Canis lupus familiaris: one gene and its partners. The main gene of each other region encodes a partner of the protein of the gene in region 5 in a complex. Links are inferred from orthologs where the notes say so. Each region holds a gene or a part of one and is shown on either strand. Other genes may lie near its edges.

Region 1 (4,024 bases), on a different chromosome or scaffold from region 5:
TTGTCAAATAGGAAAATCTGAAAGGAGTCCAATTAGAGTAAAGATCATTATTACACACTTATTATTTTGGTCTCTGAGATAGCAGTGATTGCTAATCAAGTTTTCTGGGTCATTTTTTATCTGTACTCAAAGATACCACTGTGCCTCAGTTTTTCTTTTTAGTGCTTGATTTGGATTTTTAAGCTGGTAGTTTAGGCATAGCTAATTAAACATCACAAGAAAATTATTTGAAGAGCCATTACTTTATGACATTCTTCTTTCAAATTATAAGTGAATGAATATGCAGTTTATTGGAAGAACATTAGTTTAAGCACAGTATTAAGAGATTCCAAGAAAATATTAAGTATTAGATGAAATCAGTATTCTTTTGATACCTTCTAATTGGAAGGAATGGTCCATTGCTGTTTTACATGTACATTTAAGAATGTATATCAAAAAATTTTTTTACAATAATAGAATAGCAGAACATTATAGACCCTGTTTTGTTTTTTTGTGTGTGTGTGTGGCTAGTCCAAAAAGAAGTCATTACTTTTGAAAAAAAGATAGCACAATGTGATCAGTCTCTGGGGAACTAAAAATAATTGTGCTATAGGTAATGCATAGCATATTGAAAATTAAAAATGAAAAAAAAAAAAAAAAGAAAATTAAAAATGAATTAAAATTGTCTACTGCCCCACAGAAATCTGTTAGAGAAGTTTGGAAGCTATGATACAATATATGTACTATGCAGTTTATATAATTAATATTGAGGTCTCCTAGCTATGTATGTGATATTGGCATTAATTACAGTGTAGTAGTAGCTAGTGGGTTTCCTATAATTGAATTCCTTCATGGCCACTCAGTCTATAAAAATGCAAGCCTAGACAGGACTGTGTTTTGAAAATTAGAAAAATTGCAAATGTTCCTATGTGTTTGATTGTAACTGCTTTAGAGTCATAAATGGATTATAGCCTCAGAGGACAAATACAGTGGTAGACTTTTAATTTTAAAAAATGACAAAAATGTAATTGCAAATTAGATGGAAATTTTACCCTATGGTCTTCTAGCTAACTTAGCATCTGAACTCATGTGTTAATGTTCCACTTAAGTTTTCAAAACTCATTGACCAAACCCAGCACCATGTTTTCTTTTTTGTTTTTTGTTTGTTTGTTTGTTTTTTTAGCACCATGTTTTCTTATAAAAACAGTAAAGTTCCCTTGAAAGATTAACATGAAGATTGCTTAGATGTGGAATAAGTAGAAGGAAAATGCTGTAGTGTGTTATTCTTCATGCCATGTTTCTTGCTTTCCCATGTACTTTACTGACTCCTTTGAATCCTTTTTTTTTTTTTTTAAAGAAAAAATTGAATATACCTAGTGATAGCATGCATAAATGGTAAATGTGCAGGCCAGGTGGGGTAATAGTGTGTGTATTCCAGCATCTGTGACACGCACCTGTTCTCATTTGGTATTTCTGTTGCAGTAATGTGCCTAGTGTCGGGAGCCTAGCAGATCCAGACTATCTGAATACACCACAGATGAACACACCAGTGACGTTGAACAGCGCTGCCCCAGCCAGCAACAGTGGAGCAGGAGTTTTGCCATCTCCAGCAACCCCTCGCTTCTCCGTCCCCACACCACGAACCCCCAGGACCCCAAGAACTCCCAGAGGTGGGGGCACTGCCAGTGGTCAAGGGTCAGTTAAATATGATAGCACCGATCAGGGGTCACCAGCCTCTACCCCCTCTACCACACGGCCCCTTAACTCTGTGGAGCCTGCCACCATGCAGCCAATTCCTGAAGCCCACAGTCTCTATGTCACCCTGATTCTCTCAGATTCTGTGATGAATATCTTTAAAGACAGAAATTTTGACAGCTGTTGCATCTGTGCCTGCAACATGAACATCAAAGGGGCGGATGTTGGGCTTTACATCCCTGACTCTTCCAATGAGGACCAATATCGCTGTACCTGTGGGTTTAGTGCGATTATGAATCGTAAACTTGGCTATAATTCGGGACTCTTCCTGGAAGATGAGTTGGATATTTTTGGGAAGAATTCTGATATTGGTCAGGCTGCGGAGAGGCGCTTAATGATGTGTCAGACTACCTTCCTTCCTCAGATGGAAGGAGCCAGAAAATCCCAGGAGCCACCTATAAGCCTTCTCCTCCTCCTCCAGAATCAACATACACAACCTTTTGCTTCACTGAGTTTCCTGGACTATATTTCCTCTAACAGTCGTCAGACTCTTCCCTGTGTAAGCTGGAGTTATGACCGGGTACAAGCAGATAATAATGATTACTGGACGGAATGCTTTAATGCCTTGGAGCAGGGCCGACAGTATGTAGATAATCCCACAGGTGGAAAAGTAGATGAAGCTCTGGTGAGAAGTGCCACTGTACACTCTTGGCCTCATAGTAACGGTAGGTTTCCCAGAATACATATTTACTTTAAAAATTATCTTGGCATGATGGCAAATGATAAACTTTCTTTAGTTTGTTATATGACAGAAGTTTAAGTTTTATTTCTTAAAAAAAAAAAAAGAAAGTAAGATCTCTGTTGAAAATCTTCCTGAATTTAAGGATTGGAGCAAATGTTTTATATTGAAACATCTTTGAGGCAAGTAATTATTTTGTGAAGACTTCTATTAATTCCTATAGACAGTGCGGGGAAACCTACAACTGCTAAGTGTCAGCATCATCGGGAGTACACAGACGAATAGTTTGCACACGTTGCGTGTTTAAATTCACCCATTCTTCTAGATGAGTTGTCCGTGATACTTTCTCCATGAAACCTTCTACCCATTTACCGAGCATTTTCTCCTTCCTGTTTTTCCAGTATTTTGCATCTCTTATAACAATGATCACAGTTTACTTTGTGTTATGGTTCCTGAGGCACGTCACTGACTCTTCTATTATTAAAAGTTCCAGTTGACAAATATCTGTGATGTTGAGCTCTAAGCATGCCATGCAAGTTGCTTTTCCCTTCCCTTCTTCATTCACCATCTATACTGCGATGCATCCTGGGTGATAAAATGACTGAAAGAGACAAGATACCTCTCTGAGGGACTTCCTAATCTGTCCTGGAAAATGGACATCAGATTAAGCAAATAATAACACAGATTAGCATATTAGAAACCCATCATAAGCAATTAGAAAAAAAAACATGGAGTGGGAGGGCCTTCCTAGACTGGGGGTCAGGGAAGACCTCCTTGAAGAAGTAGTAACATTAGAGATCTCAGTGCCAGTACAGATTAACTGGCTAAAGAGGCTAGAGAGGGGATCTCTGGGTGGTGCAGCAGTTTGGCGCCTGCCTTTTGGCAATCCTGGAGACCCGGAATCGAGTCCCACGTCAGGCTCCTGGTGCATGGAGCCTGCTTCTCCCTCTGCCTGTGTCTCTGTCTCTCTCTCTCTGTGTGTGTGACTATCATAAATAAATAAAAATTTCAAAAAAAAAAAAAAAATGAAGAGGCTAGAGAGCAAGGAATTGTATCCCAGACAGAAGGAACAGCAAGAGTGGTATAGAGTTGTATAGAGCTTGGTTCTTTCAAAGAACCGAATGACTCTGTCTCTCTCTCTCTCTCTCTCTCTCTCTCTCTCATTTTTTAAAGGGGGTTGGAACCTGGGTGGCTCAGTCGATTAAGCATCTGACTCTTGATTTCGGCTCAGGTCATGATCACAGGGTTGTGAGATTGAGCCCCAAGTCAGGCTCTGTGCTTGGTTTGGAATTTGCTCCAGATTCTTTGTCTTTCCCCTTCTCTGTTCCCCCCCCCCCCCCAATAAATACATACATCTTCAAAGAACTGAAGGAAACTTGGAGCTGGCTAGATCCCCAAGAGCAATTTGAGACCTGCTGGGGCTGGGGTCTTTATCCCAAGAACCCTAATAAGTCATTGGTGGGTTTATGAAGAGGCATTGACATCTGATTTGTGTAAAGAAACCAGCTCTGAGTGCAGTGCGGACTGTGGATTTGGGAATAGCAGAATGGTGGAAAGACAAGGTTAGTGCAACTGCTCAAATGAGAAATAATAGCTGGTTTCTTATCTTAG
Region 2 (3,348 bases), on a different chromosome or scaffold from region 5:
TGGGGAGCAATGAGTCTTCATTCCCATATGAAAGCTAATGGCTGGAGACTTTGAGATTTGGCATGCTTATTCATCTGGATCATTGTCCCAGAGTGCTTCACTGTTTATGTTACCTGCAGTTTTGGCACTTGAATTTCTGATTCCCTAATTTAGAGTGAGAAGAGGGCCCCCAGAGCAACACTCTGAGGCATATAACATTAAAATTTGGGTAGAGGAAAGGCACTAAACGGGATTGAGAGGGAGTGGCTACTGAGATAGGAGGAAAACCTAAATGTAGGCTCATGGAAGCTGAGGGAGAAGGGAAGTGTGTTGAAAAAGAAGAAAATACTGATGAAAGATTGAGTAAAATCACTTTAGAAAAATATCCATTGGATTTGCGGTGATTGTTGATGACTTTGAATAGTTTTTGTGGATTTAGGAGGTTGAGGCCAATTTGGATAATGACAAAAATGAATATGCAGGGGAGTGAATTATGAGTTGGTAAAGTTATAGTAGATCATGATGCCTTTGAGCACTGCCTCCTAACTCCACCAAACCTGCTCATTCACCTCACTTCCAAAAAATCCTTTTCACCATCTTGGCTTGGTAGAAACCCAGGGCTGCTCCACAGCTGCCCTTACTCAATATCTCACAAAATTCCGAATGTAAAACTGCCTCCAGTGTAGTAGTATTTGCCATCTTTGGTGTTGGATGGTGGTGTTACACCTTGAAAATCAGGTATGGTCGGTTTAAAGTTAACGTGTCCATAAGAAAATGTAGTGTGCATTGCAGGGAAAAAAGGTATGAAATTGGATCATCATTTCATCAAAGAAGCTCAGGTGATACCAGCTGTCTGAAATACAGCAATGTTAATTTTGTCAAAGTGTTATTAGACTTATAAGTAGGTGTTTGCTTTTGGAATCAATCTATAATATAAAACCAAAAGGATTGTGATACGAGATGGGGAGACAGCATGTGTAATTTGGCTATAGAGAGGTGTGGAAAAGTGATGTAATTAGTGAAGGCTGTGGATTCCAGATTTTATTTATAGATGAAAATATATTTCATATATTTTTTCTTTTTTTTTTACTTCATATATTTTTTGTGTGTGCCAATGAAAGTCTTAAGCAAAGAAGGAGAAATAGTTGGATGATTGAAGATACAATGCTAATTAGAAAAAGATGGCAGCCTGTCCATGTTGTTTTAGAAACTAAAGGGATTGTTTTGTCCTGTGCCCCAAACTGCCAAAGAAAAATAAGAAAAATACTGTCTGTAGTCACCCACTGTGACAGGTTAGTTTTATAACTCTACTCTAAATCTTTGGCTTATTTCCATAGGTTCTTGATCTTCCACTATGGGTGAGCCACAACAAGTGAGTGCCCTTCCACCACCTCCAATGCAGTACATCAAGGAATATACAGATGAAAATATTCAGGAAGGCCTCGCTCCCAAGCCTCCACCTCCAATAAAAGACAGCTATATGATGTTTGGCAATCAGTTCCAATGTGATGATCTTATCATCCGCCCTTTAGAAAGCCAGGGCATCGAACGGCTTCATCCTATGCAGTTTGATCATAAGAAAGAACTGAGAAAACTCAATATGTCAATTCTTATCAATTTCTTAGACCTCTTAGATATCTTGATAAGGAGCCCTGGGAGTATAAAACGAGAAGAGAAACTAGAAGATCTTAAGCTGCTTTTTGTACATGTGCATCATCTCATAAATGAATACCGACCGCACCAAGCAAGAGAGACATTGAGAGTAATGATGGAGGTGCAGAAACGTCAACGCCTTGAAACAGCTGAGCGGTTTCAGAAGCATCTGGAACGAGTCATTGAGATGATTCAGAATTGCTTGGCTTCTTTGCCTGATGATTTGCCCCATTCTGAAGCAGGGATGAGAGTAAAAACTGAACCAATGGATGCTGATGATAGCAACAATTGTACTGGACAGAGTGAACAGCAAAGAGAAAATTCAGGTCATAGGAGAGACCAGATAATAGAGAAGGATGCTGCCTTGTGTGTCCTAATTGATGAAATGAATGAAAGACCATGAAGGATGTTTCTTTTTCTTTTATTTTTCAGTAAATGGCATATATGGTTAATTTGCTTTGGAGAGTTTCAAAAGAGATATAACTAGAAGTCATGTAAATGACTTGACTCTAACTTTATCAATTATGAGATGTCACAGGCTGTAATTTTACTTTATGGCAAGTATAGGCAAATGAGGATATGCATACGTTAAAAGTAATCACCTTAAAAAGCAAAGTGCTGAAATTGTGTGAAACATCCTGGTTTTGGAGTTGCAGAAAACATTAAAGATATCCTCAGTAATAGCAAGCTTTCATCTTTGAAAAGTAGGTTTGTTATTTGATTTAAGAATGATAGATAAATAAAGGATATCAAGCTGTTTAAATGTGAAATTATAAAATCTTTAGATTTATTTTACTTAAAAATTTACTTGATCTCTAAAAAAGTAGTGTAACATGTTAAAAGAGAGGAACCCCATAGATTTATAAAACAGCAATTTTATTTTCCCTCTTGAGTGCTTCTGAAAACCCACTATCTCAGCTTCTTGTTCCTACCGTGGGTAGGTCTCATAACCTGTTTCCAGTCACTCAGATAATAAGTCCTTTGTTTTTTTTTTTTTTTGCAGATAATAAGTCCTTTGAATACTTTTCATTACATTCATTTTAGTAAAATGTCTATGTAATTAGCTATACATTTCCTTTAAAGCTGTACTCAGACTTGCTAAGGCTGGGAGCCTGCAATGAGAAGGGGATTAGTAGCAGAGACTACTAATTGGATTGTGTATTGGAGATGCTTGTTCCCCTGAAATATGGCTGCCATGCCAGGGTCTACATTTTTTCACTCCTTGGGTCTACATACAGCCATAGGACTAAGCTCTTAGCAATGGAATATGAGTGCAAAACTTCAGGCCTCTTGCATAACAATTTTTTTAAAAAAAGATTTATTTATTCACGAGAAACACAAAAGAGAGGGGCAGAGACATAGGCAGAAGCAGGCTCCCTGCAGGGAGCCTGATGCGGGGCTTGATCCCAGGACCCTGGGATCATGACCTGAGCCAAAGGCAGACACTCAACCACAGAGCCACCCAGGTGCCCCCATAACATTTTTTTTTTGTAAGTTCCTCCATTTTCTTCTCAGCTGCTGGTTGGATGGCTACATCTGGGTTAACTTTGGAAGCCACTTGAAAATAATAAAAGTTCAGTCAGGTGGGTCTTTGAATGGCTGAGGACTAGGCTCTCCATTTGTTAACCACCCCTACCCTAGCTGATTTGACTATATGAGTGAGAAGTCAGCTTGTTTTTGAGCACTGACATTTTATTTCTGCATTTTCTTTCCTGC
Region 3 (4,497 bases), on a different chromosome or scaffold from region 5:
AGTGTTTGTAGAAATTGTTTATTCAGCAAACATTTATTGAGCCTTAAATATGTGCTAGGCTCTGTGCTTATGTTCTTACCCACCTTAATGTTCTGTGGGTTAAAATTCCTCATGGTTAGCTCAAATGTTACCTCCTCCAATATGTTGTCCTCTACCCTAACAGGATTAATTTGTTTTCCCGTTGTGATTCAATAGCATTTTGTTGGTGTTACTTTGATTTGTTGTTTGCTAGTTTTGTTATTTTTAAATGTGTTGTTATCTCTTACTTTTATTTTTTTTAATTTTTTATTTATTTTATGATAGTCACACGGAGAAAGAGAGAGAGAACAGAGACACAGGCAGAGGGAGAAGCAGGCTCCATGCATCAGGAGCCCGATGTGGGATTCGATCCCGGGTCTCCAGGATCGCGCCCTAGGTCAAAGGCAGGTGCCAAACCGCTGCGCCACCCAGGGATCCCTCTTACTTTTATTATAGCATTCTGTCCTTTCTCTAAAGAGCAATGCCATCACAGAAAGGGTACTGGCCCAAGAGTCAAGGAAAAAATCTTAGCCTCAGCTCTCACAGTACCTGAATGATATCAGGCAAGTGAACTTTCACTCTTTGAAAATCAGCTTCCTCATCCGCAAAATGGAGACCATTATAATCTCTAACTCATGGGGCTGTTTGCAGATTAAAGATGATGGCCGAAAGTATCTGACACTTAGTAGGTGCCTCTTTCTCAACCAGGAGTTCGTGGGCACTTAAGGAATGCATTAATGACCTTTAAGGGCTCTAAGAATGTCCCTGCAAAGTATCTAACATTTTGTACTCCTCTGTAATTTTTCTGGGAAGGGCCAAAGCGTCCATCAGCATCTTTTTTTTTTTAAGGTATTTATTTATTTATTTATGATAGTCACAGAGAGAGAGGCAGAGACACAGGCAGAGGGAGAAGCAGGCTCCATGCACCGGGAGCCCGACGTGGGATTCGATCCCGGGCCTCCAGGATCACGCCCTGGGCCAAAGGCAGGCGCCAAACCGCTGCGCCACCCAGGGATCCCATCCATCAGCATCTTAAAGGGGTTGTGAATTAGACAAGGTTAAGAACCTCGGTGCCAGACTATAAAGACCTTGAGGAATTAGGGCTGGCCTTTCAGGGGTTTAATAGATACTTTCTTATGCAAAAGGTTTCTAATCTTCACAATAGCCCTTTGAGGGAAGCAACAGAACACCCATTTTTCAGATGCAGAAACTCAGAAAGGAAGAAGTGGTTTAGAGTAAAAGACAGAGTCCCTAACTGATGCAAATACACTGGAGCACCGATTCCAGGCCCAAAACCCAGCGAAGCCCCGAGACCCCAGTTTCAGCCAGAGCTCGGCGCCGCGGCTGCCTGCCTCCTCGCGGGGTCGCACCCCCGCCGGCCCACTGGCCCGCCCCAGGCTGTGTCACAGACTTGGGGAGTGAAATTGATTTTCGGCCGCGCGGAGCTCCGCCCCACGCCGGGCTGGGCCCCGCCCCCGCTGCAGTCGGTATTGTCCGACGGTTCCCGGCGTCCCTCGGTTCTCCTCGGTAGTTTCCGGCAACGATCGAGAGTTTCTAACGTCCCCCCTGTTGTCTCTCGGCTGCGGTCCTCGCAACCGCCGCCCCCCTTTTCGGTTCCCTCTCCCCCTCCCCCCTCAGCCGGCCCCGGCAGGCGCCTCTGGCGCTACGGGCTGGGCAAGATGGCGGCCTTCGGGATCTTGAGCTACGAACACCGGCCACTGAAGCGGCCGCGGCTGGGCCCTCCCGATGTGTACCCGCAAGATCCCAAACAGAAGGAGGTGCGTTCAAAAATCGGGGCTCTCGAGGGGCCTGAGGCGGGCGATCGGCAGAGGAGGAAGCATTGATGGTTGGGGGGGGCGGGGCGGTTCGGTGGGAGCCAAAGTCCCAAAACGGGTTAAGAGTAAAGTGGGCTGGTGTAGGAGAGTGGGACCTGGTGGGGGGGAGGAGGCTCTTGGGTGTGAATAGGGAATGATGTAGGGGCCACGCCGGAGGCGCCCCCCTCCACACACACACACACACACACCTCAGAAAGTTGTCTCAGGCAGCTTGGCGAGCTGCGGCTGCTTGCAAGCTTGCAAGGAAGAGTGATACTGAGCGAGCGCTGGGTGGTTGGAAATCTTAGTGACTGTGGGGGTGAGGGTGGGGTCCAAAGGAATATAAGGGCCTAGCTTTAAATAACAATCTGCTCTACTCAGAGTCCTCCTACCTTTTTTCCCCCTCCGTTGTTCTCTTCTCCTGCCCTCCTCTTCCACCACCACCACCCCCAAGGGGGAAAAAATAAAATAAAGGAAAAGCTAAAATGTCTTTTTCCTGCCTCAGGATGAACTGACAGCCTTGAATGTAAAACAAGGTTTCAATAACCAGCCTGCTGTCTCTGGGGATGAACATGGCAGTGCCAAGAACGTCAACTTCAATCCTGCCAAGGTGAGACAACCCTGCCAAGCTGAAGAAAAAGGCTGGAAGAATCTGAGGAGGGGCAAAGGCCCTGGGTTGGGAAGAACCAAAGGGATGACCTGAATGGCTGGCTGAGTGTTCCTTCGTGGCTTCATGCCGCCACATTGGTATTTGCCTGTCAGAGGCGTGAGTGCCTCTCTGCCCCTTCTTCCCACCCTGAAGTATAGTTTTCTTTCCTCAGATCAGTTCCAACTTCAGCAGCATTATTGCAGAGAAGTTACGTTGTAACACTCTCCCTGACACTGGTCGCAGGAAGCCCCAAGTGAACCAGAAGGACAACTTCTGGCTGGTGACTGCACGATCCCAGAGTGCCATTAACACCTGGTTCACTGACCTGGCTGGCACCAAGCCACTCACACAACTAGCCAAAAAGGTGAGGTGCTAGTTCCTGATCTCCAGGCCAAGGTGGGGAGCATGGGTATGAAGTAACTATCCTATTCCCAGATGAAGCTACATGGTTGCCAGCTTGTGGTAGTCATAGAGATCTCACTGTTTACAATGTCTGTCCAGGTCCCCATTTTCAGTAAGAAGGAAGAAGTCTTTGGGTACTTAGCCAAATACACAGTGCCTGTGATGCGGGCCGCCTGGCTCATCAAGATGACCTGTGCCTACTATGCAGCAATTACTGAGACCAAGGTTAAGAAGAGACATGTCATTGACCCCTTCATGGGTGAGTACCTCCTAATACCATGGGTCCCACCACTGATGGCATCAAGGAGTGACAGAGAGACCCTTGGTATTGTTCTCCTTCCTCAATACTAAGGGTCTCTCTGATGTTTCTGCTTGCATCTTACACTCAATTGGTAAATACTGAGTACCTTGAGTATCTACTGGGTACATGTCCCAGGCTGTCAAGGTGATTGGTACCTTATTCCCACCATCAGGGTGCTTCTTATCTGATAGGGATGCTAAGGCATGTGTATGAGTCCCATAATTAAACATAGAAAGTGTGTCTATGTGTATGTATGTGTGCGTGTCTCAAAAGAGCAGGTGAAAGGTTTTTTGAGATTTCAGTGGACAGAAAGATTACTTTCTTTGGAGGACACCTGGGAAGGCTTCAGGAAGGTGGCGTTTGGCCAGAGCCTAGGAGGATGAATAGGATTTAGAAGTATGGCAATTGGGGGGTGGTTGGCGTGGGCATGGGAGAGGGACACAGAAGATGTTCTAAGGAGAGGGATGGTATAAAATAGCCCCTGTTCCCGTCTTTCCCCTAGAATGGACTCAGATCATCACCAAGTACTTATGGGAGCAGCTGCAAAAGATGGCTGAATATTACCGTCCAGGGCCCACAGGCAGTGGGGGCTGTGGTTCCACTATAGGGCCCTTGCCCCATGACATAGAGGTGGCTATCCGGCAGTGGGACTACAATGAGAAGCTGGCAATGTTCATGTTTCAGGTAGGAAGAAGGGCATGTCCCTTGAAGCCATGGTGGAGCCTGGCCTCACATTCTGCTAGTCCAGGACAGAGTCTACCTGTCAGCTTGGCCTAGATGTGGCTCTCTTCCTCCTTTCATTTACTTTGTTTGCCTTATCTCTAATAGTCCCCCCCAGGGAAACTAATACTCTTCCTACCCCTTGGACCATAGGATGGAATGCTGGACAGACACGAGTTCCTGACCTGGGTACTTGAGTGTTTTGAGAAAATCCGTCCTGGAGAGGATGAATTGCTTAAACTGCTGCTGCCCCTGCTGCTCCGAGTAAGGCCTAGGATTTGGGGGCACGGCGGCGGGGGGCGGGGAAGGTGGGGAGCCTAGGGAGGGTTTGAGGAGGAATAAGATGTGAGTTCAATGTCCCTTGTAGAGACCTGGGGGTTTTAATCGGCATGTCTTTACAGTACTCGGGGGAATTCGTTCAGTCTGCATACCTCTCCCGCCGCCTTGCCTACTTCTGTACCCGGAGACTGGCCTTGCAACTGGACGGCATGAGCACTCACTCATCTCACGTTATATCCGCTCAGTCGACAAGCACACTGCCCACCACCCCTGCTCCTCAGCCCCCAACCAGCAGCACACCCTCTACACCCTTT
Region 4 (4,566 bases), on a different chromosome or scaffold from region 5:
CCATATTAGTTAAAACAAATTAGAGCTATCTCTCATTACTCCCATTATGTGGGAGTAGGTTACTCACCTGGAGAGGTTCCTAATTAGGTCCCAGCAGATACTGTGGATTGGGGATTGAGGGGAAGGAATGGTAAAGTAGAAGTAGCGCTTCCCAGCTAGGACTAGGGCAAATGTGACAAATTGAGTTTTCAATGGATAATTCCCACCTTCCCCCAACTCCAGTAGGATAATCAGGGATAATCAGCCAGATAGGGAGGGTGTATATGTCTATCCCAAGTCCACAAACCAGTCATTTGCTGATTCCAGGTTTATTTCTTGTCACAGTATCCCCTAGCTATAACTTTCCTTAGATACCAAGTTCTGTTTTTTCTTTTCTTTTTTTATTTTTTTAAGTAGTCTCTACACATCCAACCTGGGGCTACGTGGAACATAGGACCGGGAGATCAAGTGCACATGCTCCACTCACTGAACCAGCCAGGTGCTCCAGATACCAAGTTCCTATTATCTTCCTTCACACTAAATCCTCAATAGGTCTCACGGCTAAGTATAAATTGCACACCTTATCTGTTTAAAAATTGTCCCTGCCCTTACCTACACATAAGGCTCATTTTCCAGGAACCTCCTCCACTCTCCTCTCCACCAACCTTCTTCTGTTCTTTCTACTGAGTTCCTCGCTGTCAGAGGAGCGAGATTTTTATTAGTTAACTGCACTCACACCTTACCTCTGAACTCCAGATGCCACTCTTCTGCTACTCACTTTGCCTATAGAAACCTTCCTTTTCCAACTTTTTTTTTTTTTTAAGATTTTATTTATTTATTAGAGAGAGGCAGAGACACAGGTAGAGGGAAGAAGCAGGCTCCACGCAGCAAGCCCGACGTAGGACTCGATCCCGGGTCTCCAAGATCACGCCCCGGGCTGAAGGCGGCGCTAAGCCACTGAGCCACCCAGGCTGCCCCCAACCATTTTCTTCTTACGCGGTCAATACAGCTCGATTTAGTGCTTAGTTGTTTTGGACGCTTTCCATCCCATGTGTGTCAGCTTCCCCAGCACACCCACATTCAGAATTAAAGCACGCACCCAGTCTTCACCTGGGTGGCCCATCACCCCCTCCACCCCCACCCCCCCAGAGGAGACACCCTAACACAGCCAAGATTGCCTGGTGAATTTTAATTTGGATTTGTTGAAGTTAAAATCGGGATCGCGACCCCCAAGTATTCCTGAGTTGGTTGCTGTGTATATATTTGGTGATCCACCTGGAAATCCAAAGTAACGTAAGTATTCAAGGCAATGTTTAAAAACGAATATACACGGGAAGATGGGGAAAATCACTTCTAAAAACTGCAGCATCTAACCATCTCCGTAAAATTGTCTACCACCCGAAAACCTCGAGAACGAGTCTGCTGGACCCAAAACGAAGGAACTCGGAACCCCCACCCCAAAGTCACTCAAAATAACCTCCGCGAGGCGCCTTCGCGGGCGGAGCTGCCCGAAACACAGCCTCGCAAAAGTCCCACCCGCGCTCTACTCGCCGGGCGCGGAGGGCCGCTGACTCCACCCCCTCCGAGAACGCTGGCCTGTGATTGGCTACGACGCTTCCTGAAGCCGCCCAATAGCGAGCGAGCAGCTGCTTTAGCCTCCGGAGCTTGCAGGAGGAACATGGCGGACCGGCTCACACAGCTGCAGGACGCGGTGAACTCGGTGAGCGATTTTGCTCTGTTGGTCTCTGTCTTCCCCTTTCTTAAGGTAAAACGAGGGCAAAGGGCCCCGGGAAAAACACACGAAAGTGGGGAGCGGACTGGGGCAGGGCTTCCGCAGAAAGCGCTGGCGGCGGCGGGAGGCGGCGCGGCGTCCTGGGAGGTTTGAGGCCGGCTGCCGGCTTCGCGGAGAGCTGAGGGAGCAGCAGCCTCTTTCACCGGAAAAGTAGGGGGTCTCTCTGTCAGGACACTTAGGCGTCACGGTCCTGTCCTGTTCTCTGGGAACAGTTTTATTTTACTGCCAGTCGTACTTCTGGGCTCACTTCTCTTTCGGGGGTAAGGGGGAAAGCGGCAGAAGCTCCTTGTTTCCCTTATCAGTGTTAAGCCGCGAAGGAGAAACTGTGCTCCTGACGATTGGATATTTTTTTGTTAAATGTCAGCCGAGAGTATTCCTGCGTCAGGACTTTGCAGGTTGAGCCTGGAGTGATGGTGAGGTGAGAAATTCTGTTTCCTCTTCGTTGGTTCCCAGAGACAAAGGGTCTCGTTCCCATCTCTTGGCGCTCCCTGGCATCAATCAGTTTGGGGAAAACTGACATCTTTAGGAGAGTGAATCTTCTAATCCTTGCGTATGTTCCCATTTATTTAAGTCTTTAATGTGTCGCAAAAAGTCTACTTTCTGTTAAGGGTCAGATCTTGTAAGCCGACCCCCTTACTTTGATCCTTATTATTTTTTTCCTGTTATGCCTGACTGGAAAGTACATGCGAACCAGAGGATTCATGTGCTCATGACCATAAAGAGTTCAACAGTTTGCCATTAGTTATATTTCTCATTGTCAATCTGTTTTTTTTTTTTTTTAAGGTTTTATTTATTCATGAGAAAGAGAAGTACAATCCATGCAAGGGAGCCCGACGCGGGACTCGATCTGGGGTCTCCAGGATCACACCCTGGGCCGAAGGCGGCGCTAAACCGCTGAGCCACCCGGGCCTGCCAATCTGTTTATAATTTGATATCCCAGGTCAAATGTCTTTAGAGAGAGAATATGTTGACTGGAAAATCGAAGTATCTGTTCCCTTGCCAGTTTTTTTCACACCGGAAGATAAGAAGTTAGGATTCTTGTTGCATCCATCTTTGTTCACTTCAAATGAGGGGGGAATCGACTTGTGAAAAACTGATTTACTCCGGGCGGCCCCGGGTGGCTTAGCGGTTTAGCGCCACCTTCAGCCCGGGGTGTGATCTGGAGACTCAGGATCGAGTCCCACCTCAGGCTCCCTGCATGGAGTGGGCTTGTGTCTGTGCCTCTCTCCCTCTCCCCCCCCCCCCCCCCCCCCCCCCGTCTCTCAATAAATAGTCTTAAAAAAAATAAAATAAAACTGACTTACTCCGTAAATAAAATAAGACCTTTTAGGACTGAGAGGGCTAGCCCCTAAAGGTTGATGAAGTCACTAAGATAAATTCTACTTTATGGTGACATGCGTGGGCTGCCAGCCAACTTCCTTCTGGGAGATATTACTTTGAGGCTCTTCAGAATCAAATTGTAACGATGCTGCTGGGCAGAAATGTTATTTTAGGAGAAATGTTGCATATTCATACATGTCTTGTAACCAGAGAGATAATAGGAGACAGTGAATATGGCCTTGACTCCAGGGTAAGCATGCTGATAATTGGATTTTGGAGAGAAATCTCTAGGTTAACTAGTGTGAATGCCTAATGTGTATGTAAGCACTCTCATGTTTACAGAAAAATACTCCTTGGGGAGTTTACAGTCTAATTGGAATGATGTCATATACTCAAGACATTTAAATAATTTAAAAGTAGGATTTGGTTAGGTGTTTATAATGAATCAAGCGCCTTCAAATGTAAGTGCTGAGGTAAATTGGAATAGAGAGTGATATGAACTGAGTAAAGGAAATCTTCTAAGCATTGATCTGAATTGTAATTATTTGTAAAATTATTAAAGTTATTTGTTTTACCCCCTGAGAACTCCATGAGGGCAGAAGCTGTGCCTTTGTTCATTGTTTCATTATAATGTTTATTACAATGCTTGTCATAGAGTTGATTTTTTTAATATTTATTGAATAAATGGATCTTGAGAGAGCTTTTGAAGAACACAACAGATAGCCACTGTGTTGAATATTTATGCTTGTGTGTTTTCTTTATTCCTCAGAACAGTGGTGTAATGTGAAAATGTTCCCAGTTTAAAAATTAAAAACTGTACTCAGGTTACTAGAACCAGAATTGGAATCCACATCTGTACAGCTTCTAAGCACTTAATACTGTGCCATTACAAGTAGCAAAACATGAGCAACACAGTATAGTCTGGAATGAATTTATCACTAGTTAGGTATATATGAAGGAATTAGTAGAAAATGAAGAAGTAGAGTTGACTTAGATTATCGAAAGCTTTGAAATAGCCTGAAGGGTTGGAGATTAATCTTAAAGGCCATGTTGGGGTGAGCTCAAATTTAAAAAAAAAATTTTTTTTTAAAGATTTATTTGAGGGCAGCCCAGATGGCTCAGCGGTTTAGTGCCGCCTTCAGCCCAGGGCGTGATCCTGGAGTTCCGGGATCGAGTCCTGCATTGGGCTCCCTGCATGGAGCCTGCTTCTCCCTCTGCCTGTGTCTCTGCCTCTCTCTGTCTCTCTCTTCTCTGTGTATTCTCATGAATAAATAAAATCTTTAAAAAAAAATAAAGATTTATTTGAGAGAGAGAGAATACAAGTGGGAGGGGCAAAGGGGGAGGGAGAGAATATTGAGCAGACTCCTTGCTGAGAGTGGAGCCCTACACAGGGCCTGATCTCATAACCCTGACATCACTACCTGAGCTGAAACCAGGAGTTGGACAATTAACCAACTATACCACCCAGATGCCCC
Region 5 (3,010 bases):
TAGTCAGTACCAAATTTTCTTTAAATTTTCCTTGTTCATATTACTATGTGGTTTCTGCCTCCTGACTGGCCTGTGACTGGCAGGATATGGAATAACCCAAATGAGAAAAAGGCAAAGATATCAAAGGAAACTAATGCACAGTGAGCTCTCAGTTTGTCCTTTAAGCAGTTTTAAAAAACTTTTTAAATGTTCTACCAAATCAAAACAAGTCACCTACAGAAGATAAAAGGTGGGAAACAAAATAAATGTAATAACGCAAAACTACATGTAAAACTTGAGGAAGGCTGAAATTCAAAACAGCCCAAGTCTCACAGAAGTGCTATTTAGTTATTCAAAAGTAAAAAGTTGTTACTCGTTTTGTTAACTTGGGAGTTTTTCAAGAGTGATTTCACTTTGTATTCTTTAAAATGAACATTTATATTTCTTATTCTGTTGGTACAGTATATTTCACAATTTTATTTAAAAAGCTGTTTAGATTTTAATAATTAAAGGCCTAATGCCAAGGCAAATAAACTATCAATAAATGACAGAGAAATCAATTTGTTCTAATTTCATAAACTCCAACTAGAACAGTTTTTGATCTACAGAGCAGGATAACTGGCAAAAAACCTAGCTATTAAAACGAGTTGGGTCTAGACTCTCAAACTTGTTCAACAGCCAGACAGTCATGTCTTAAAAACTTTGGTGTGTTTGAAAACCCCATTCTGATTAGTATTACCTGGCAATCTGCCTGCTGCAAGTGCATCCCCTGGTAAATGACCATTTACACCATTCGTGGAAGGATTGTTCATTTGACCCAATAATCCACTTCTCATCTCTAAATCAGTTGGGTATGGTCTCCGTGGGTCCCCTAAAAAAAGACTGCTTTTAATTGAATCTTATGCAAAATAAGCAGCAATACCTTCTCTGAAGTATTGATTTTCCTTGGTTCTCTTTGAAAAACTCAGAAATATATTTTCAATTTTCATACAGGAAGGTCATCTTATCAATTGTGATTAAGAGCATAATATATTAAATTTAAAAATACATGCATTTCTTCTCTGAATCTGCACAGAAATATACTATTCTCCATACAAAAAAAAAAAAGTGTCATTTTAGCAATTCTAGATGACAAATTAAGAAAATAATAATGATCTTGAGTCTTCTAAGTTACCCACATTTCCTAGTAAGAACAAATGATACATACTCTGAAGGAGAATAAATATATGGTGTTTTGTTTTTTTTGTTTTTTTTTTTACAAGACAGAAAGGACTGCTTATTTGAAGGACTACCTAAATTAAAACTTTTTCTAATCAACCTCTTTGATCTTGTCATTTAGAGATTAATTCCTAGAACTTTCCAGTGGAGGTTTATCAGGAGCTTTCATTTCTAATCATGATAGTTTTGGGATAATGAAAACTTGGCAGATTTGGACCAACTTTTTAGTAATATTTCTTACTCCAGATCACTCACCTCCAAAACTGCAGTTAATCTTAGTGTTTTTAGTATGGTGAAATGCCACCATCATGAGATTCTGATGCTGAGATACTCTCCCACTCCTCCCAGAAGATTACTGCTCTACCGCAGGTCCCTGTCTTATAAATGTTTTATGTGCTGTCAATGTATGTTGTAGTTTGTTACCCCTTTTTGTTGTTTCTAATTATTCCAGCTCTTTCCAGTCCCATGTGTTTGTTTGTGAGCACTCAGTGCTTCACTGTATCACTGAAGATCTGGGACTGTCTCGTTTCCAAGGCCAGAACCCTTGACGAAATCCCAATGGTTCTAAGAAGTGGGCTTCTGGCCAGCCTGGGTATTACAGACATATAAATCTACAGCTTAGAATCATTACATATCATCTCGTACTTTTAAACATCAATTTATGATTTTTCTTTAAAAAGGACAAAAACACAGTCTCTATAGCAAAAGCTTTGCAGAAAACCAAACTGATAAACCCATAACCCAAATTATTACTTGTAAGATATTAAAGATATGAAAATATACGGAGGATGTTTCTAAGGATAAATATATCCTATATTTAAATCTTTTTTCCTATTTTTAAGTATAGTTACCTAAGAATTTTCAAAACCATATATACCTAATAAAAAGAGAAGTGTTTTTACCTGGAACCCAGGTCAGTGGAGCACACACAGCATTACTTGCACTTATTCTATGTGCATATTTAATTATTTCTTCAGAGGAGATGGCACCTGAGTCAAGAAGAGAGAGTAACATGTTAGTCTAGTAACTTACAAGTCACTTACTAAATTTTAAATTACCTGAAAATAGGATAATCCGAGTTACCTACCTTCCCTAATAAAAACTAATATGTATATTGTTAAATCATATAAGATTTCCCAACTAAAGAACAAGACATCTAGAAAATACAGCTGATAAAGCATCATATTTGGGACATTAGCATGATAATGCCCACTGACCTTGATTTCTAACTACCATTAAACATTCCTACTGTTCTGAAAGCAACAGTGAACACAAATAAGACACAGGAAAGGGTGTTTTGTCTTGCATTAACAGCTTAGCTATTAAAGCAGCAGCTCATACTACACCACTCAATTGTGACTTAACGTGACCCTAAGGAAAGAAGTAGACCCAAGTAGAAACATGTCCACAATATACTCATTAGATTTAAAAACTAAGCTGCTCGATGCCTGGGTGGCTCAGTTGGTTAAACATTTGCCTTTGGTTCAGGTCGTGATCCCAGGGCCCTGTGATGGTGTCTCACACTGGGCTCCCTGCTCAGTGGGTCTGCTTCTCCTTCTACCCCTCCCCATTCCTTGTGCTCTCTCCCCCCACTCAAAAAAAATCTTAAAAAAAAAAAAAAAAAAAGTAAGCTGCTAAATAATACATACAGCATGACCTGGTTTTTGTTTTAGAATATATGTATATATATGTATTTGCATTAAACACCTAAAAAATGGACACACACTAAACATTAACAGTGGTTATCTGAAATAGGAAAAGAGGAGGAAAGTTAGATAACTCTGAGGTGATTATAGGTAAATAATCTATAAAC
Region 6 (4,024 bases), on a different chromosome or scaffold from region 5:
GGGAGGGAAAATCAAAACAGTAGACTAAACTGCAGCTACTTGAATCAAGGAAAAGAGGGATGACACGAAAGATACAAAATTAGGAATGAGAAAAATAAATAAACCCAAATGTACCTTTGGGTTATCTCCATGGTAATAAAGTTGAAAGCTAAAACATTTAAAAAGCTCCATACCCACGTTATTTCATGGTTATATGTTTTCCCATTTTCAAGAGGATCTGCTACTGAAATCACTTCACACAGAAAAAAAGCTTTCCAGTTCTCTTTATGAAGCTACAATAACATTGATAAAATCTAGCAAAGGTAGCACTAAGAACAGTCTCCGTTTTGAATATTGATGTAAACATCATAAAGTATTAACAAGTAGAGCCTAACATCATACTAGTAATTTAAAAAAGGCAGTGATTTTGTAGAAATATAGTCGATATTAGGAAATATGTTAATAGACAGTGAAGGCATCAGAAGACGTCTATTAAAATTCAACATCTCTTCTTGACTAAAATAGGATGCTTTCTTAACATGGTAAGAGCATCAAAGCATGAATGATAAGAGATATTTAATGGTGAAACATTAGGAAAATTAGAGTGCCTGCTTAACATTGTTCTGAATTGCTACTCAATATAATTAATAGAATGAGATATAAAAAATGACAAAATTGTCATCCTATACAGATAAAATTAACCAGAAAATTCAGTTAATTGACAAATTATTATAAATAATATTTAATAAAGTGACCAGGGATCCCTGGGTGGCGCAGTGGTTTGGTGCCTGCCTTTGGCCCGGGGCGCGATCCTGGAGACCCGGGATCGAATCCCACGTCAGGCTCCCTGTCAGGCTCCCGGTGCATGGAGCCTGCTTCTCCCTCTGCCTGTGTCTCTGCCTCTCTCTCTCTCACTGTGTGCCTATCATAAGTAAATAAAAAAAATTAAAAAATAAAAAATAAAATGACCAGTTACAAAATGTAAAAAGTGGAAAGCTTTCTTTTAAATGAATGATGGAAACATAAAATACAATAACAGTGGGAAATATGAAATACACAATAAACTAAAGAAATGTGCGGGATCTATAGGAAGAAAATTTTTAAATTATGTAGTAGAAAATTTTTAAATTATGTAGTAGTAAAGATTTTAATAAATGGAGTTTGAATTCTAGTGTTGTAAAGATAGCATTTCTCCCTATATTGATGTGTAAATTTAATGCAATCCCAAACAATTTTGAATGAGTTTCCTTTTTTGGGACTTAACATACTTCTAAAGTTCAAGCCTTAGAATAATAAATGTAATAGAATATGTAGAAATTTTCTAAAGAATAGTAAGCAGCAAGGAGGGTATTTTCCATACCAGATTTCATTAATTTAATTTTTTTTCAATAATTTAATTTTATGTTTTAAAATAGCGTGGCATAGAAATAAGAAAAATTGAAAGAAAAAAGCCTTAAGTGATTGGAAAATGTAGGTGATTTTTTTTTTTTTTTAAGTCATTTTGTGTCAGGGAAGGCCTTCCCATTTGTGACAAGCATAACATCAAAGTACAATATGGGTTGGTGTTAAGTGTTCATATTTCTGTATTACAAATTAAATATTAAGAGATCATGAACTTGGGAAATGTTTTCAGTGTATTTGACAAATGATTTACTAACCATAATTTGCAAATTACATGAGAAGAATCTTTTAATCATGAAAAAGACCATCCCATTAGAAAAACTGTTGTTAGAATTACAGTGTACAAAAGAAGAACTGTATTTAGCCAATAAGGCCTGGAAAAATGTTTAACCTCAGAAGTAAACTAAAAAACAAAATCCCCTAAAACAGTAAGATACTACTTTGCCTTTAAGTTGTACAGTATTTAGAAGATTAACCGTAACCCATAGGGGGTTTAAGTATTTTAAAACACTCTCATGTACTGTTAATAGGAATGGAAATTGGTATGATGTATGGAATACAAACTGAATATGTAAAAGTTATCAGCAAAACCAACCAATCAGTTCTATTTCTAGGAAATTATTTTAAATATATTATTAACCAAATGTACAAGGGTGAAGTACAAAGATATTCATTAAAGTCTTATTTTTAATTATAAAAGATTATAAGCTACATATCTATTAATAGGAATTAACTAAATAAATAATCCATCCATAATGATGTGCAGCGATTTAAAGAGATGCTGAATAACAAATTTGTTGACATGGAAAGACTTCCAGTACATACTGAGTGACAAAGGCAAGTTGCAGAGTGGTTTTTTGGGTCATTTCAATTTCATATCTGGTTAAAAATAGTAGACTTAACTAGGCAAGTGGAGGCTATTAGTGTAATAAATTATGAAGCAGCTTTTAACATGATTGGAATTTGTGAAGTCGAAAAATTAAATACTGTAGTTACTCATGAACAACTAAGAAAAGATACTTCAAATCTAAGGTATCCTCATTTAGTGCCAAATAACTATACTATTATTTTATGTATCACTAGGAAAAAAATAAACGTGCTGCCAATTAAAAGCCTAAGGCATCACTGACTGTAAGATCTTTCTTGATATCAGAGTCTTAAAACCAATGCAAAAACAGTGTAAGGTAGTGAGAAAGAGAATGAAAAAGGCAAAATTAGAGTGGAATTTTTTCAGAGCATATTTACATTCATTAGTGAGATGATTCTCAGTTTCAAGAAATGTAGAAAATCCTGTCTTCAGAGTTTACTTCTGGCATTTTGTATTTCTTAGAATGTTCACAACTTGTTCAGTCTTAGAATGTTTTTTGTGACTTAGTTGATTTTCTGTAACGTGTCTTAACATCTTTGTTCTTGTAGTTTGCAATGGATTTTGGATAAACAAGATCTGTTGAAGGAACGCCAGAAGGATTTAAAGTTTCTCTCAGAAGAAGAGTATTGGAAATTACAAATATTTTTTACAAATGGTAAAAAAAATAAATAACTGAAATGGTATAGTTGTTTACCTCTGAATTAAAACTTTTGTATAGTGGGATCCCTGGGTGGCGCAGCGGTTTGGTGCCTGCCTTTGGCCCAGGGCGCGATCCTGGAGACCCGGGATTGAATCCCACATCCGGCTCCCGGAGCCTGGAGCCTGCTTCTCCCTCTGCCTGTGTCTCTGCCTCTCTCTCTCTCTCTCTCTCTCTCTGTGTGACTTATCATGAATAAATAAACAAAATCTTTAAAAAAAAAAAAAAAACTTTTGTATAGTAATCTATGGTGAGCTGTTTTAGTCCCTACTTAACATTTTTATTTATACATGTATTCTTTTCATAACTTATATTTATCTTTCTAAGTGATATAAAGTCTGTTGTGAATCTTACATGTCAGGGACACTCAAGACAGTTTGAAAGTGTCATTAATCTCTCTAAACCTTTATAATATGTTATTAAGTCTAATTTAAGATTGGCTAAAGCAAGTATTTTGAGGATAAATGGATTCTTTGGGTTGACCTCCTATGTTGGTCATTTTTATCTTACAAGTTTGCTTTGGAGGGAAGGGGGTTTAGACTCAGAAGATCCTTGCTCTGCCATGTAGCTTTGTTACCTGATCTTTCTAAAACCAGTTCACTTTTCTGCATACCCGCCTTTCTATTATTTTGAGAATTCATTATGGACTTTTTAATAAACTTTATAAAGTGGTAGTTGAGGTGAATTTGATAGCTGTCTAACATTTTACTTTTGCTTTTATTCTAAAGATAATATGAAAAAAAAAAAAAGAAAAACACTGAAAATACTTAGAAGATAGAGGGAAATACCTATCATTCAATCTTCTTAATATAAGAATAGTGTTTGCTTTGGGGACAGTTTCTATTTTTTATTGTTGTTTATGCATACTTATATTCTTTTAACAGATTTGCAAATCCTAGTCCTAACCCAGTGTGATCCAAGTAGAGCTTTAAACCATATGTAGGTTTTTCTCTTTGTTAAAAATTAATATAGTTATGATTTACCACATGAAAGTTATTGTTCAATGTTAATATCATAATGATAACAAAAGAACATTTAAAACTTTATTATTTTTCTTTTAGTTATTCAGGCATTAGGTG
Region 7 (4,608 bases), on a different chromosome or scaffold from region 5:
TCAGGATACCAGGGTCCTGGGATTGGGCCTTGTGTAGTCAGTCAGTCTCCCTGCTCAGTGGGGAGCCTGCTTCTCCCTCTCCTCCCTGCTCCTGCTCTCTCTTGCTATCTCTGTCACTATCTCAATCCGTCTCTCTCAAATAAAGTCTTTAAAAAGAATAAAAATAATAAAAGACTTCAGCAAAGAAAATTAAAGCAAAAAGGGACGGATAAGGTAAATGTGACAAAATGGTGATATAACTGTATGCAAGAGGAATGCACCCTTTTATCTTGAAGTACATTACCAAACGGCAGGAGGGCAAGTTATGCTGATTTACAGCCCCTTCTAGACTATGTCTGAGCCCAAACTCCCCCGACTTCATTGGCATCATTCTTTCCGATATTAATTAGCACGACAAAAGCAAAATGCTTTTTAATTGGTGAAGATAAGCAATTTTCAGGGGTTTAATTGCCATTTTAAATTGTTTTGTATGGGAGAAGAGAGAGCCTTCATACCAGTAAAAAAAAAAAAAAGTATTTCTCTTTTCCTACGTTTTTATTGATGAGTAAGTTATATTTATGTAGTAAAATTTCAGTCAATACATGTTACAAACGACTTTCCCAGTTTATCATATTTTTTTTTCAACTTGGCTTATGGAGCCTTTTGAACAAATTGATCAATATTTTACGTTTCCTGGCTTTGCTATGATGATAAACTCTTTTCCCAGTCTTCAGGATTATGCGGTGTGTTCCTTTCTTCCTTCAGCTATTTTTAAGGTTTCATTTGTTGCATTTACATTTTTAATCCACCTGGAATGTATTTATGTTCTAGGCTAGTTTCTGGCCGCTCTCCCAGAAAACAACAATCAGGTGTTGCCTAGCAACCGCCACTTGGGTTGGAATTGGGCTTCTTTGAGAGGGAAGAACAGCTGCACTCCCCTCCGAGTGGCCGGCAACCCCAAGCGTTGCCTAGTAGCGCCATTTCAGAGGATGTGATTGGACCCTTCACACGACCCTCCCCCCATCTCTCCGCGGCAGAAAAAAATTAACCAGAAACCTAATCTCGCCGATAGAAAACTAGGGCAGCGTATGCGTTGCATAGCAACCAGGTCTCCGGCCCCTCCCATTGAAACCAGAGGCGGAGCGGGCGCCTCGCTCAAAGATGGCGGCCGACTACGGCTCTCTCCATGTATGTCACTCTCCACAGTCCTGACAATGACCCAATCTTCCCCGTCAGGCCCCTGAAGGGGTTCGCTATGCTCTTAATCTTGCACGCGGCGGGTACCTACGAGGATGGAGATAGAACCAGCGCGCCCTGCGTGCCCCGCACAAACATGGCCGCGGGCGCGCCGAGCCGCGGCGCTAAGACGTCCCGCGCCGGGGGGCGCGCAGCGCAGGCGCACTTCCGCTCTTTCCACAGCGGCTGCGGCGGCCGCGGCGGTGGCGGCGGTGGCGGCTGCTGCGCGGGGCATGGTCCCCGGGTCGGAGGGCCCGGCCCGCGCCGGGGGCCTCGTGGCTGACGTGGTGTTTGTGATCGAGGGTACAGCCAACCTGGGGCCTTACTTCGAAGGGTTGCGCAAGCACTACCTGCTTCCGGCCATCGAGTGAGTGCCGTTTCCCCGACTTCCAGCCCGGCCCTCCGACTTTAGTTTTCCACAGTCTCTTGCCTGACCCCGACCTTTTACCTCCGACCCTCGCAGGTATTTTAATGGTGGTCCTCCTGCCGAGACGGACTTCGGAGGAGACGTGAGTCTTGGGACTCCTGAGTCTGTAGAAGGAGGGAGGCGGGGACCGGACTCCTGAGTCTGAGGAAGGAGGAGCCCGGGGACCGGACTCCAGGGTCCGAGGGGCGGAGGGGGCCGGGGATGGACTCCAGAGTCTGAGTGGGGAGGAGTCCAGGACCGGACTCCTGAGTCGGAGGGCGGAAGAGCTGGACGGGAGTTCCAGATGAAAAGTTCCTCCCTCCTCCTCTCCCAGTATGGGGGTACCCAGTACAGCCTCGTGGTGTTCAACACGGTGGACTGCGCTCCCGAGTCCTACGTACAGTGTCACGCTCCCACCAGCAGCGCCTATGAGTTTGTCACCTGGCTCGATGGCATTAAGTGAGCATTTTCTTGTGTTAGGGGGTGGGTTGGGGGACCCTGTGAGGGACCATGAACGGATGGCGGCTTGACTTGAGTTTCAGGAACCGTCGCTCACACTGGGTGGCTGAAAGGACTGAGAGGGATTGTTTTTGTCCATAAGTCACTTCTGTGGTGGGTTCCGTGTGCTCAGCGTTTTTGCCCTCCGATGTGGAAGTAGAAAAATCTTCTCAGTTTGGGAGGCCTGTTGAGCTCCAGCTCCGATCTCGTACTGTGTGGTTCTCCGCATTTGGTCGGCTGTTCCTCATCTCCACCGTAGTATTCCTATTTCACATGGGCCTCTTGAAGCCTGAGTGCAAGGGGGGCGTGGGGCCTAGGCCAGGATAGATCTCTCTGTGCTCTGAATGGGATTTGGAATGTTCACATTGCAGGCTCCCGCGGGTACAGATAGCCTGTGGTCATATCACAGCTAAACCATCAAACTCCCAGACCCAAGAGTCCCTGCTCCCTTTGTGCCTAATGTAGTTTATCTCTTGTCGCTTTATTTATTTTTTTTAAGATTTTATTTATTTATTTATGAGAGACACAGAGAGAGATGCAGAGACATAGGCAGAGGGAGAAGCAGGCTCCCTGCAAGGAGCCCAATGCGGGACTCGATCCTGGACCCCAGGATCATGCCCTGAGTCAAAGGCAGATGCTCAACCACTGAGCTACCCAGGCGTCCCTATCTCCTGTCTCTTTAAAGGGGGGGATTAACATTATAGTACTTGTGTTAATTATTTATTGTGTTATTTATTCTTTGTTGTGTAACACATTATCCCAAAACTTAGTTGCTCAAAACAATAAACGTTGATTATCTCATGCCATTTCTGTAAGTAAGGAATTCAGGACTGGCCTAGCTGGATAGTTCTGGCTCAGGGCCTCATGAGGTTGCAGTCATGCAAGGGACCAATTTGTTTTCAAGGTAGCTCACTCTGTGGCTGGGGGAATGTTCTCCTGACGTGGCAGCTGGCTTATTTCAGACGAAGCAACACAACAGAGAGGGCAAAGAGGAAGCTACAAGAGTTTTTATGATCGAGTTTTAGAAGCCACACAGCGTTGTCTCTGCCACATTCTGTTTGGTAGAGAAGTCAGTCCTGTTCAGTGCAGGGAGCATGAGGGGAGGTGAATCTCAAGGGTGTGAATAACAGGAGGTGGGGATTGTTGGGGGTGGGGGGTGCTAGCTACCATGACTTCATAGGCATAGGCATTCTTTGGGAATTGAATGAGTTAGTTGGCTACTACTTAAAACAGCACCTGACATGTATTAAGTGCTATGTTAGTGTTCACTGTTGTTTCATGCCTGTTTCTTGGTTTGTGAATAGATAATGGTAGTTCAAATGTCCATGCTCTCTGGAGGATCACAGGAACTAATTTTCCTATGGTGCCTTCATACTGCCTAGCCCAGGTCTGGTCTGTGGTTAGAGTTCATGAAACGGCACTGGTTCATGATGGCTCTTCTCTTCATTCGTTTGTACGGCAAGAGTTTGCTACTTAGCAAACTGAGTGCCTGCTCTGTTCCAGGCTATGTGTGTGCAGGACTAGGTGCTGCACGCCCACTGGGAAGTTGACACCCAAGTTTGACCCCTCATGGCCATTAGAACTAGTAGTCAGGACAGAGTAGGATTTCCCAACCTCAGTACTGTTGACACTTTGGGCCAAATAATTCATTATTGTGGGGGATTGTCCACATGGCAGGATGTTCAGTAGCCTCCCTGGCCTCTAGCCACCAGGTGCCAAGAGCCACCTCCAAGTTGTGACCAACAAAAACGTCTACAGATGATTGTCAGCTGTCCCCTGAGGCAGGGGGTAGGGAAGGACAAAATCCACCCCAAATGAGAAGTACCGAGATAGGTTGTTTTAAGACATGAATAATGGTAAGACGGGACTCCCTGATGCCCAAGTTCAAGTCTGATGTCTAAGTCCCTAGCGCCAAGCACAAGGTCTGGCACCAGGGCGGTCTAAGGAGAACTGGGTGGAATGAGGGAATATGTGAGTGAATGCCCAGAATGCATTTTATATATATATATATAAATTTTTTTTTTAAGATTTTACTTATTTATTTGAGAGGGAGACAGAGTGTGGCAGAGGGAGAGGGAGAAGCAGACTCCCCTCTGAGCAGAGAGCCTGAAGCCGAAACCTGGGCTCAATCCCAGGACTCTGAGATCATGACCTGAGTCAAAGGCAGATGCTTCACTGATGGATCCGCCCAGGCGCCCCCTGAATGCACTTTATACTCTGATTCTTCCCAGTGAACTATAAGCTTCAGGACCCAACTCAGAGGTCCCTTCCCTGATGCTGGCAAGCAGCCATCACTCCCTCCTCTGGGCCTGCCCCTCCCAGCCGTCCCCTGTCGCAGCCCCATGCCTCTGGACTATGAATGGCTAGGTCCCTGGTGGTCCTTCTGCTTTTTGTTTCCAGCTGGGGCCTGGCACTCAGAAGGTCTCAGAAGACCTTGACAGTAAATAAATGAGTGAAAGCCATGAAGAAGATAATCACCAAGAAACCAA

The links.
Region 1: MED4 (region 5) and MED13L share a complex: the UniProt entries of both Homo sapiens proteins name them as parts of the mediator complex. The link is inferred for Canis lupus familiaris from reciprocal best matches to the Homo sapiens genes MED4 and MED13L.
Region 2: MED4 (region 5) and MED7 share a complex: the UniProt entries of both Homo sapiens proteins name them as parts of the mediator complex. The link is inferred for Canis lupus familiaris from reciprocal best matches to the Homo sapiens genes MED4 and MED7.
Region 3: MED4 (region 5) and MED12 share a complex: the UniProt entries of both Homo sapiens proteins name them as parts of the mediator complex. The link is inferred for Canis lupus familiaris from reciprocal best matches to the Homo sapiens genes MED4 and MED12.
Region 4: MED4 (region 5) and MED21 share a complex: the UniProt entries of both Homo sapiens proteins name them as parts of the mediator complex. The link is inferred for Canis lupus familiaris from reciprocal best matches to the Homo sapiens genes MED4 and MED21.
Region 6: MED4 (region 5) and CCNC share a complex: the UniProt entries of both Homo sapiens proteins name them as parts of the mediator complex. The link is inferred for Canis lupus familiaris from reciprocal best matches to the Homo sapiens genes MED4 and CCNC.
Region 7: MED4 (region 5) and MED25 share a complex: the UniProt entries of both Homo sapiens proteins name them as parts of the mediator complex. The link is inferred for Canis lupus familiaris from reciprocal best matches to the Homo sapiens genes MED4 and MED25.

What each region holds. Positions count from the first base shown.
Region 1 is NC_049247.1:13,132,102-13,136,125, reverse strand, and holds part of MED13L (mediator of RNA polymerase II transcription subunit 13-like), read left to right. Parts: intron 1-1,461; coding exon 1,462-2,399; intron 2,400-4,024. UniProt on the Homo sapiens protein: Component of the Mediator complex, a coactivator involved in the regulated transcription of nearly all RNA polymerase II-dependent genes.
Region 2 is NC_049225.1:53,888,447-53,891,794, forward strand, and holds the end of MED7 (mediator of RNA polymerase II transcription subunit 7), read left to right. Parts: intron 1-1,316; 5' UTR 1,317-1,333; coding exon 1,334-2,035; 3' UTR 2,036-2,402; downstream 2,403-3,348. UniProt on the Homo sapiens protein: Component of the Mediator complex, a coactivator involved in the regulated transcription of nearly all RNA polymerase II-dependent genes.
Region 3 is NC_049260.1:55,681,846-55,686,342, forward strand, and holds the start of MED12 (mediator of RNA polymerase II transcription subunit 12), read left to right. Parts: upstream 1-1,492; 5' UTR 1,493-1,697; coding exon 1,698-1,796; intron 1,797-2,337; coding exon 2,338-2,442; intron 2,443-2,653; coding exon 2,654-2,845; intron 2,846-2,982; coding exon 2,983-3,142; intron 3,143-3,686; coding exon 3,687-3,868; intron 3,869-4,057; coding exon 4,058-4,168; intron 4,169-4,305; coding exon 4,306-4,497. UniProt on the Homo sapiens protein: Component of the Mediator complex, a coactivator involved in the regulated transcription of nearly all RNA polymerase II-dependent genes.
Region 4 is NC_049248.1:25,930,344-25,934,909, forward strand, and holds the start of MED21 (mediator of RNA polymerase II transcription subunit 21), read left to right. Parts: upstream 1-1,638; 5' UTR 1,639-1,657; coding exon 1,658-1,699; intron 1,700-4,566. UniProt on the Homo sapiens protein: Component of the Mediator complex, a coactivator involved in the regulated transcription of nearly all RNA polymerase II-dependent genes.
Region 5 is NC_049243.1:3,373,038-3,376,047, reverse strand, and holds part of MED4 (mediator of RNA polymerase II transcription subunit 4), read right to left. Parts: intron 2,187-3,010; coding exon 2,100-2,186; intron 851-2,099; coding exon 719-850; intron 528-718; exon of another isoform or gene 1-527. UniProt on the Homo sapiens protein: Component of the Mediator complex, a coactivator involved in the regulated transcription of nearly all RNA polymerase II-dependent genes.
Region 6 is NC_049233.1:58,029,122-58,033,145, reverse strand, and holds part of CCNC (cyclin-C), read left to right. Parts: intron 1-2,796; coding exon 2,797-2,903; intron 2,904-4,006; coding exon 4,007-4,024. UniProt on the Homo sapiens protein: Component of the Mediator complex, a coactivator involved in regulated gene transcription of nearly all RNA polymerase II-dependent genes.
Region 7 is NC_049222.1:107,412,351-107,416,958, reverse strand, and holds the start of MED25 (mediator of RNA polymerase II transcription subunit 25), read left to right. Parts: upstream 1-1,391; 5' UTR 1,392-1,448; coding exon 1,449-1,582; intron 1,583-1,678; coding exon 1,679-1,724; intron 1,725-1,955; coding exon 1,956-2,080; intron 2,081-4,608. UniProt on the Homo sapiens protein: Component of the Mediator complex, a coactivator involved in the regulated transcription of nearly all RNA polymerase II-dependent genes.